Linked DNA regions of Rattus norvegicus. The protein of the gene in region 2 purifies or fractionates together with the protein of the main gene of each other region. This does not show direct contact. Links are inferred from orthologs where the notes say so. Each region holds a gene or a part of one and is shown on either strand. Other genes may lie near its edges.

The links. The genes of interacting proteins can lie anywhere in the genome.
Region 1: the proteins of Acin1 (region 2) and Sap18 fractionate together in Homo sapiens (co-fractionation; 7 studies listed by BioGRID and IntAct, with this or other methods). This does not show direct contact. The link is inferred for Rattus norvegicus from reciprocal best matches to the Homo sapiens genes ACIN1 and SAP18.

What each region holds. Positions count from the first base shown.
Region 1 is NC_086033.1:36,057,458-36,061,204, forward strand, and holds the start of Sap18 (histone deacetylase complex subunit SAP18), read left to right. Parts: upstream 1-1,326; 5' UTR 1,327-1,329; coding exon 1,330-1,458; intron 1,459-1,586; coding exon 1,587-1,696; intron 1,697-3,747. UniProt on the Homo sapiens protein: Component of the SIN3-repressing complex. Enhances the ability of SIN3-HDAC1-mediated transcriptional repression. When tethered to the promoter, it can direct the formation of a repressive complex to core histone proteins.
Region 2 is NC_086033.1:32,114,283-32,118,029, reverse strand, and holds the start of Acin1 (apoptotic chromatin condensation inducer in the nucleus), read left to right. Parts: upstream 1-1,025; 5' UTR 1,026-1,062; coding exon 1,063-1,374; intron 1,375-1,415; coding exon of another isoform or gene 1,416-1,810; intron 1,811-1,821; exon of another isoform or gene 1,822-1,960; intron 1,961-2,780; coding exon 2,781-2,846; intron 2,847-3,747. Other genes in the region: C15h14orf119 (uncharacterized protein C14orf119 homolog), read right to left, coding at 1,416-1,810.

The DNA.
Region 1 (3,747 bases), about 3.9 Mb from region 2:
TTTCTCTTTACCTCAGACTCAGGTAAATGCTTCAGACAGGGCAAAAAGCAGCCACATCCTTCACCAAAATACCACAAAAGCAGAGAACTGTTACCTGGTCCTCTGTAAGAATAGCAAGTGAAGACTATTCTCATGACACCTCTGAATATTCTCCTAGCAAAGATTGTCTCTAGAGTCTAAGCAGCAAGAAGGGATTGTAAGGACTATCAAATAACCCTAGAGAATCCGAAGTGTGTGTTCAGCTTGCCTTCTCACCAGAGCACAGAAGTGTCAAGGCCTATAACCACTATCGTCAGTTCTATCTTTTGTCCATACGCTACATCCGACTTGTTTTTAAAGCAATCTGTTAAAAGCAGTCACCAGATCTTTAACAAACTCTATGGATCAGTAGTGAGATTCAGAACATTATGTGCGTATTGTTAGTTTAGATTCTTTTTTAAAGCGACTGCTTTAAAATGGAGCTGTGGGGTTAATGTTTTACTCTCTATAGCATATTGTGAAGGTTTTGTTTTGTTTTGTTTTTTTTCCTATCAGTCTTTCCCACTAGTACTTTTTTAGGTTTTGTTTTTGTCTTGAAACAGGCTCTTTCTACATAGCCCTGACTGTCCTGACACTCTGTAGACCAGGTTGGCCTTGAACTCACAGAGATCCACCTGTCCTGCCTCCAGAATGCTGGGGTTAAAGGAATGTACCACCACGCAACTGGGTTTGCTTCTCTTGTATTTCGCTTTACGTAAAAAGAGCCCAGTTCATCACAGCCCCAAAACAGATGGTTTCACCCCATCACCTACGGAAATGGTATCATTTGGCTGCAGGCCTTGCAGTACCTGTCTACCTTAGCGGTCCATATAAAATCAGTCCAGTCGGTTTGTCATCACTATGACTACCTTGTTCATATTTTTACATGTCGTGTGAATATTCTTAAGCTTTTCGTCTTCGCTACACATTTTCATCATTACGCATGAAAATGTCACGTTACGCTTACTTGGACAGTGAACGTGTAAGAAAACAAGACTTGGGGTTGGGGATTTAGCTCAGTGGTAGAGCGCTTGCCTAGCTAGCGCAAGCGCAAGGCCCTGGGTTCGGTCCCCAGCTCCGAAAAAAAGAAGAAAAAAAAAAAAAAAAACAAAACAAGTTTCCCCCCCCCCCACAGACGCCTGTAGACCATTGCGCATGCGTCCGTCCCGCCCCTCTCCCAGGGCAACACGTACGCGCCGGCGCGCGTGTGGCCACACACATAAGAAAGTGCGCTTGCGCCGAGCGACGCCCCGCCCTGCCACTCGTCCGCTATAAAATCTCGCTCCTTTCCTCGCGAGAGACGACTAGCTCATGCTCGCCGCAGGGGTCGGAGGTCAGGGCGAGCGTCTCCCGGGCCGAAGGAGGAAGATGGCGGTGGAATCGCGCGTTACCCAGGAGGAAATTAAGAAGGAGCCGGAGAAGCCGATCGACCGCGAGAAGGTGCGGGTCGCGGGCGGCTGCGGAGCAGAGGCGGCGGGCCGGCTGGCGGGCGGGCGGGCGCGGCCTGCGGACGGGTGGGCGGGAAGGCCAAATGGCGCGCCAGAGGCTGACTCCCCGCTTCTTTCCAGACCTGCCCGCTGCTGCTGCGGGTCTTCACCACCAACAACGGCCGCCACCACCGAATGGACGAGTTCTCCCGCGGGAACGTGCCTTCGAGCGAGCTGCAGATCTACACCTGGTGAGCCGCGCGGGCCCGGCGCCTTGCGGGCTGCGCCCTCAGGGACTGACAGGGCGGCCTTACTCGCCGTGTAACGCATTTAGGAGTGGGGTGAAACGTTAGGTTACAGTGAACTCACCGGTCTTGCTCTCACCGTGTGGCCTCCTGGTACAGAATGATACGTAGTTTAAAATGCGGCAGAGAAGATGGTAGATGACTGGGAGTCGGCTGTTGAGTATATTATGTTCTCGGAGCGTAGGCAATAGGAAGCCTCAAGTCTGGTAGCACCAAAATATTAAAAAGCACCATCACACCCGAGTCCTTTCTGCTCCGGCCCTCGGTGTAAACGCGTTTGGTGTGTGCTCAGTGAAAACGGCTGTCCAAGTGTTTTATCTCCGAGTACCTGCCTTGCTGCCCACTCAGCTAGGACCGTTACCCGCTTGTCCTTCGTATTGTGTCCGGTTGACACTGATGGCTTTGGGAAAGCAGCAAAGGCTAACTTTAATATATTTTTGTTGTTGTTGTTGTTGCGGTGGTAAGATATACAACACATAATTGGCCACTTAAAACTTTTGAAGGTTTTCTTTTTTCTTTTTTTTTCTCGGAGCTGGGGACCGAACCCAGGGCCTTGCGCTTGCTAGGCAAGTGCTCTACCACTGAGCTAAATCCCCAACCTCGAAGGTCTTCTTCTTAAACCTTTTCACACACTTCACAACCAGGAACTCTGCACCTTTTAAGCAAACGGTAATTTCCTATTGCAAGCGGACCTCTTGAGTTTGAGGCCAGTCAGACTCGAAGAGTCCTTGTCTCAGAAAACAGACAAACAACCCCACCCCAGCCCCAAAACACGAGCTAGTGGTTGAATTTATAAGGGAGAACTTTTAACAGCCTGATGTAAGCCACTTTCTCAATACTACAATTCTCTGTATCTCAACAAATAAGTTTTGCAGCTTGCCAGGACTTTCCTTACATCTCGATGATATCAAGAACTGCTTTTCTATAAGGTGAGCTCAGCTTTCCAGAGAGGGTTATCTGTTTGGAGAGATTGTTCCAGAGCCACATGGATGTCAAAATCTTGGAACGGTAAAGTTTTTTACTTTAAAGACTGTTGTAGTGTTTATTGTCCACACCCTACAGCATCTGCTCTTGGGACTCTCCCTGTGAGAGCCAGCCCTCTGCCAGGGCAACCCAGTCTAGAAAAGCTTCTTTACTTTAAAAGTTGCCTCAAAAGAAACTCAGAATTATATCACTCCAGAGTTTATGCCAGCATTGACATTCACTAGGGGCAAAATGCAAAACGTGAGAGTTAATTGTGGAATAGAATAGGAATTCTGGCTAAGTAAAATTTAGCTGCATAATTACATAAGAAAGTAACTGTCAAAAAAAAAAAAAAAAAAAGAAAGTAACTGTCTTTTTCTCTGAAGTTTTACAACTTATTTGGTTCCACAATGAACTACATACAGTTCTGAAAAAATAAGATTTTACTTGAACTATGCATACTGTGAACTATATATTTTTGTGTCAGTTTTGGTATTATATCTTTCAAATTTTAACTTATTTTTATGTCTATGGACATGGGTGTTTTACTTTCATACATATGTGTGTGCACATATAAACGCCTGGTGTCTACTGAGGTCAGAAGTGGGTGTCAGATCTCTGGAGCTGGAGTTACAAATGGTCGTGAGCTTCGATGTTGGTGCTTGGAGTTGAACTCAGTGCTCCTGTGTCTGAGAGATTGCGTTTTGTCACAGGGATAGTGAGAAATACCTATCTGAAAGGTCCTCCTGGGTATTTTCACTCGTGTGCTGAGTAGGCTGGCGTGGAGATACGCTGTTCACAGCAAACATGCAGTGGGCTCTGCGGTTCTCTCCTTGGTTCAGTCCCATCAGTGTTCTCATTCTGAAGTGTCTTTCTAGGTTCTACTGTTTTTCCCAGCGCTTGGCACAGAACTGTTTCAGGTTTATACTTTGCATTCCACTTACCTCCTGTTGTTGGCAACACCAGTGTAACCGTGAACTAGGCTAAAGGTTTACATTTTCAGTTACTTTGCTCTAGATTGTGCTGTATAAGCA
Region 2 (3,747 bases):
TCAAGGTAAGGTAAGGGTTAGAAAATCAGAAGCCACTTTATTAAAGTTCTGAAGAAAGTCCTTTTGCTTCTTTCTTGACTTAGGTAACCTAAAAAGTGTGATACGGATGCACACGTGTCTCTCAACAGTTTTCCTTAAAGCTTTATGCCTACAAGTACCACTCATTTTGCATCATGGATGCAAGTGTCAGCCAACTTATTCCAAAATACTTTAGTCCTACAGTTTGTATCTCCAACAAGGAAAACCTTCAACTCTCTAGGACCTAAATTTCTACCTGTTCTTACTTCTCCGAGTTGGAAAATTTGTATCCATGAAGAAAAGAATACCTAAACGTCAGTTCTAAGTCCCGGTTCAGGGTGACTGCCAGTTTCAAAGTGGCCCTACAGGGAGAAGTTTCTCCTAAAACTTCTCTTTTTCAGAGAAAGGGAATTATTTACCCAGGCTTTTTTACATTTACATGGCTTCCACTGTAAACTTAAATTCGATGTCATTAATAAATTTGCTGTCTGAGATCAAAGACACAATGCTACTTTTTCCCACGTTTGGAAGCAGCAGGTCTCTTATTCCTTAGCCACACAGGACAAAGCATTTCTTAGACCGAGTGGCTGGGATATAGAGGATGGGGACCACAGAGATTTCGCCAGGAAGCAGAAGGGTTCCCCAAAAGAAAACATTCAGACACCAAGTCTTATCCGGCCTAGGAGAAATTTCTTTTCCTCTTACCTCCCTTTTCCCCTTGGAGGGCGCCCAGAGATCACAAGAGTGCTTCAGCTCCTGCTCCAATTCCCCGAGTCTCTTCCATGTTTCCGGAAAACCCTAAGTACAGCCAGCCCCAGTAACCCACGCACTTCCGGTCCGGAACCAGCCCCAAGTACCCAAGTGCCCCAGCGCCTCAGCCCTCAAGTCCGGAGATAGCCGAATATCTCCGATTATGGGTATGCCAGATTCGAGGGCTTCCGAATAGATTCGATTCAAAGCCTCGGCAAGACGAAAACAAACGAACCTGAAAGTAAAATGGGAGGAGCCGGCCGCTAGGCAGATGGAAAAAGCCGATTGGTACCGATGTGGAGACGGAAACGACCGAACAGTTCCGGAGGAACCCGGGGAATTCTGAGCGGTAATAGAGGGGTAGACTATGGCAGTGGGCGGGGCCAGTTCGGTACGTTCGAAGGGCGTTGGCGGAAATTACCGAAGATGCCCGAAGCCGTCGGGACGGACCCGAGTACCTCACGCAAGATGGCGGAGCTGGAGGAGGTGACTCTGGACGGGAAGCCTCTTCAGGCTCTGCGGGTGACCGACCTGAAGGCCGCACTGGAGCAGCGAGGCCTAGCCAAGAGCGGGCAGAAGAGTGCCCTGGTCAAGCGGCTCAAAGGGGTGAGAAGTCAGCGTTGCCGAGGTGTCGGAGGGGAGCGGACCTGGTAGAGACGAGTCTCCGCTGCGGCGCAGGCGCAGTGTCCGGGCTCGGCGCGAGCTCTCTCAGGCCGCCAGCGCGAGCCTGCAGATCCACGCGCACGGTGGTTGGTGTGGCTGGCGCTGGAATAGAGATAACGCCGGTTCCCGCCTTAACGGCAGCAGCGCGAGCCCAAAATGGGAGGGTGCGCGCTACTCTCCCGGAGTGTCTTAAGCTCCTTCCTTCTTCCCCCACCCCCTCCTTGTTTGTGTCTGTGTTTTCGGCGCATGCGCTGCAGAAGGAGTTAAATCCCTCTACAACCACCGGTGTGGCTGGCCTTAAGGGGGCGAGCAGGGCTGTGTCCGAGTTAGGGATACAGTTGGGCGGATGGGGTTGGTGTCTGTGTCTGCAGTAGTACATTTTGGATAGGGTAAAAAATGTCCGCTTGACTAGATTAAAACCTTAGATGAAGGAAAACCTTGATAGAAGGACTTGTCAGAGACGGGTGTCTAATTTATAGGGAATCGAGAAACAGTCTGGATAAGAATTTGGTGAATATTGGTGCGAGAGGTGAGACAGATTACTTTAGGCTGGGGATTTTGTATCGGTTTGAGCAGTGAGAATGAGCTTGTTGTCGTGAGGTATACATACTGTGTATTGGTTTGGTGTAAATGGAGGGAAGGAAGGTGAGAAGGACTAGTGTAATTTGAGTTCATTAGGGTACGTGGCTCATAATACTGATAGGGACTCGGTCAGTTCAGGCTTTGAGTTGACAGACCGTTGCTTATCCCGAAGCTGACAGTTTGTGGGTGGGTGTGGATTAGGTCAGACCACAGGTTACAAGGTCTGTGGTTAGTTTCTCGGTGAAGTTTTTAGTACATTTGATTTGTCTGGGTGTCAACACTGATGGAAATTGTGCAGGTTCATTTAAGTAGTTTTAGTTCTGAAAATCAAATAATAGTCAAATCTAAATTAGCAGCCTAGTGTTGGTTTCATGTAATTTGAAACTTGTTTGAGTACTTGTAATTTTTTTTGCCTGTATTACCAGATTTAAAAGTGGCTCCTAGTCAAAATTACAGACAATAACAGGGGTTCTAGTTCTGATTCTGCCACTTTTGCTGATTTTTTTGTGACATAGCCAGGTCACTGATTCTTTGTGTGCCTGTATTTTACATCCGTATACTTGGGAGCAGTAACCATGGCTACCTTTAAGCGACTTATGAAGATGAATGAGAACAATATTAATAAAGCGCTTTTAGGCTCTGTGAAAGGAATGTAGTATAAATGTATATTTAAGTAATTTAGTGAAAAGGCTGTGGGAGAGGTAGAGATCTGGAGTGCTTTTTTGTTCCCCCTCCTGGTTTCTGATTTTTGCTCTTCTTTATACCAGGCTCTAATGCTAGAAAATTTACAAAAACACTCAACACCCCATGCTGCATTCCAGCCAAATTCTCAGGTAAGAAAAAAGGTTTGTTTAGATAGAATGGGCTATTTGGAGAAAATGGTAAATGGGAAGACTTGGTGTCTTCCATGTTTATCAGAAACAGAATTTTCTTGTTTTTTTATTGCAAGTGATCTCAGTTACTGGGTTTTTGTTTTGTTTGTTTTTGTTTTGTTTTTTTAAGGTCTGTTTTTATTTTATGTGTGTGGGTGATTTGCCTCCAACGGGTGCCCACAGAGGCCAGGAGAGAATGTCAGATCCTCTGCAACTGGAGTTACAGACAGCTGTGAGCCACCATGTGGGTGCTGAATCGAACCTGGGTCCTCTATAAACGCAGCCAGTGTCTTAACCATTGAGCTATCTCTCCAGCCCTCAGACAGTTGAATTCTAATCACCCTCAATTTTGCATAAAGACCTGGAGTTTTAAAAAAAAGAAAAGAAAAAAATATATATATATAAATAAAATCAAAGGAGCACTGAATGAATTTTGAATTCTTGGAGTGTGTCAAAAGTATCACTCTGGGGGTTGGGGATTTAGCTCAGTGGTAGAGCGCTTGCCTAGGAAGCGCAAGGCCCTGGGTTCGGTCCCCAGCTCCGAAAAAAAGAACCAAAAAAAAAAAAAAAGTATCACTCTGATTAAGTGTGCCACAAGAATCTGAAGTCACTTGCCATCAGCTTAGGGGAAAGTTATCTTTGAATATAGATCTTTGAATATAGATGTAACAAAATACTTTTTCATCAAGAACTCTTTTATTGGTACAAATTTACTTTAAAGAATTTGATACTGTATTAATAAACCCTTATTTCTAGGACTAACTCTTAAACATCCTTAAAACCTTGATGACTTAGGACAAGGTACTTAACACTTAGAGACCTTTGTTTCTTTACCCGAAATAGGAAAAGTAGTTTGACTTAG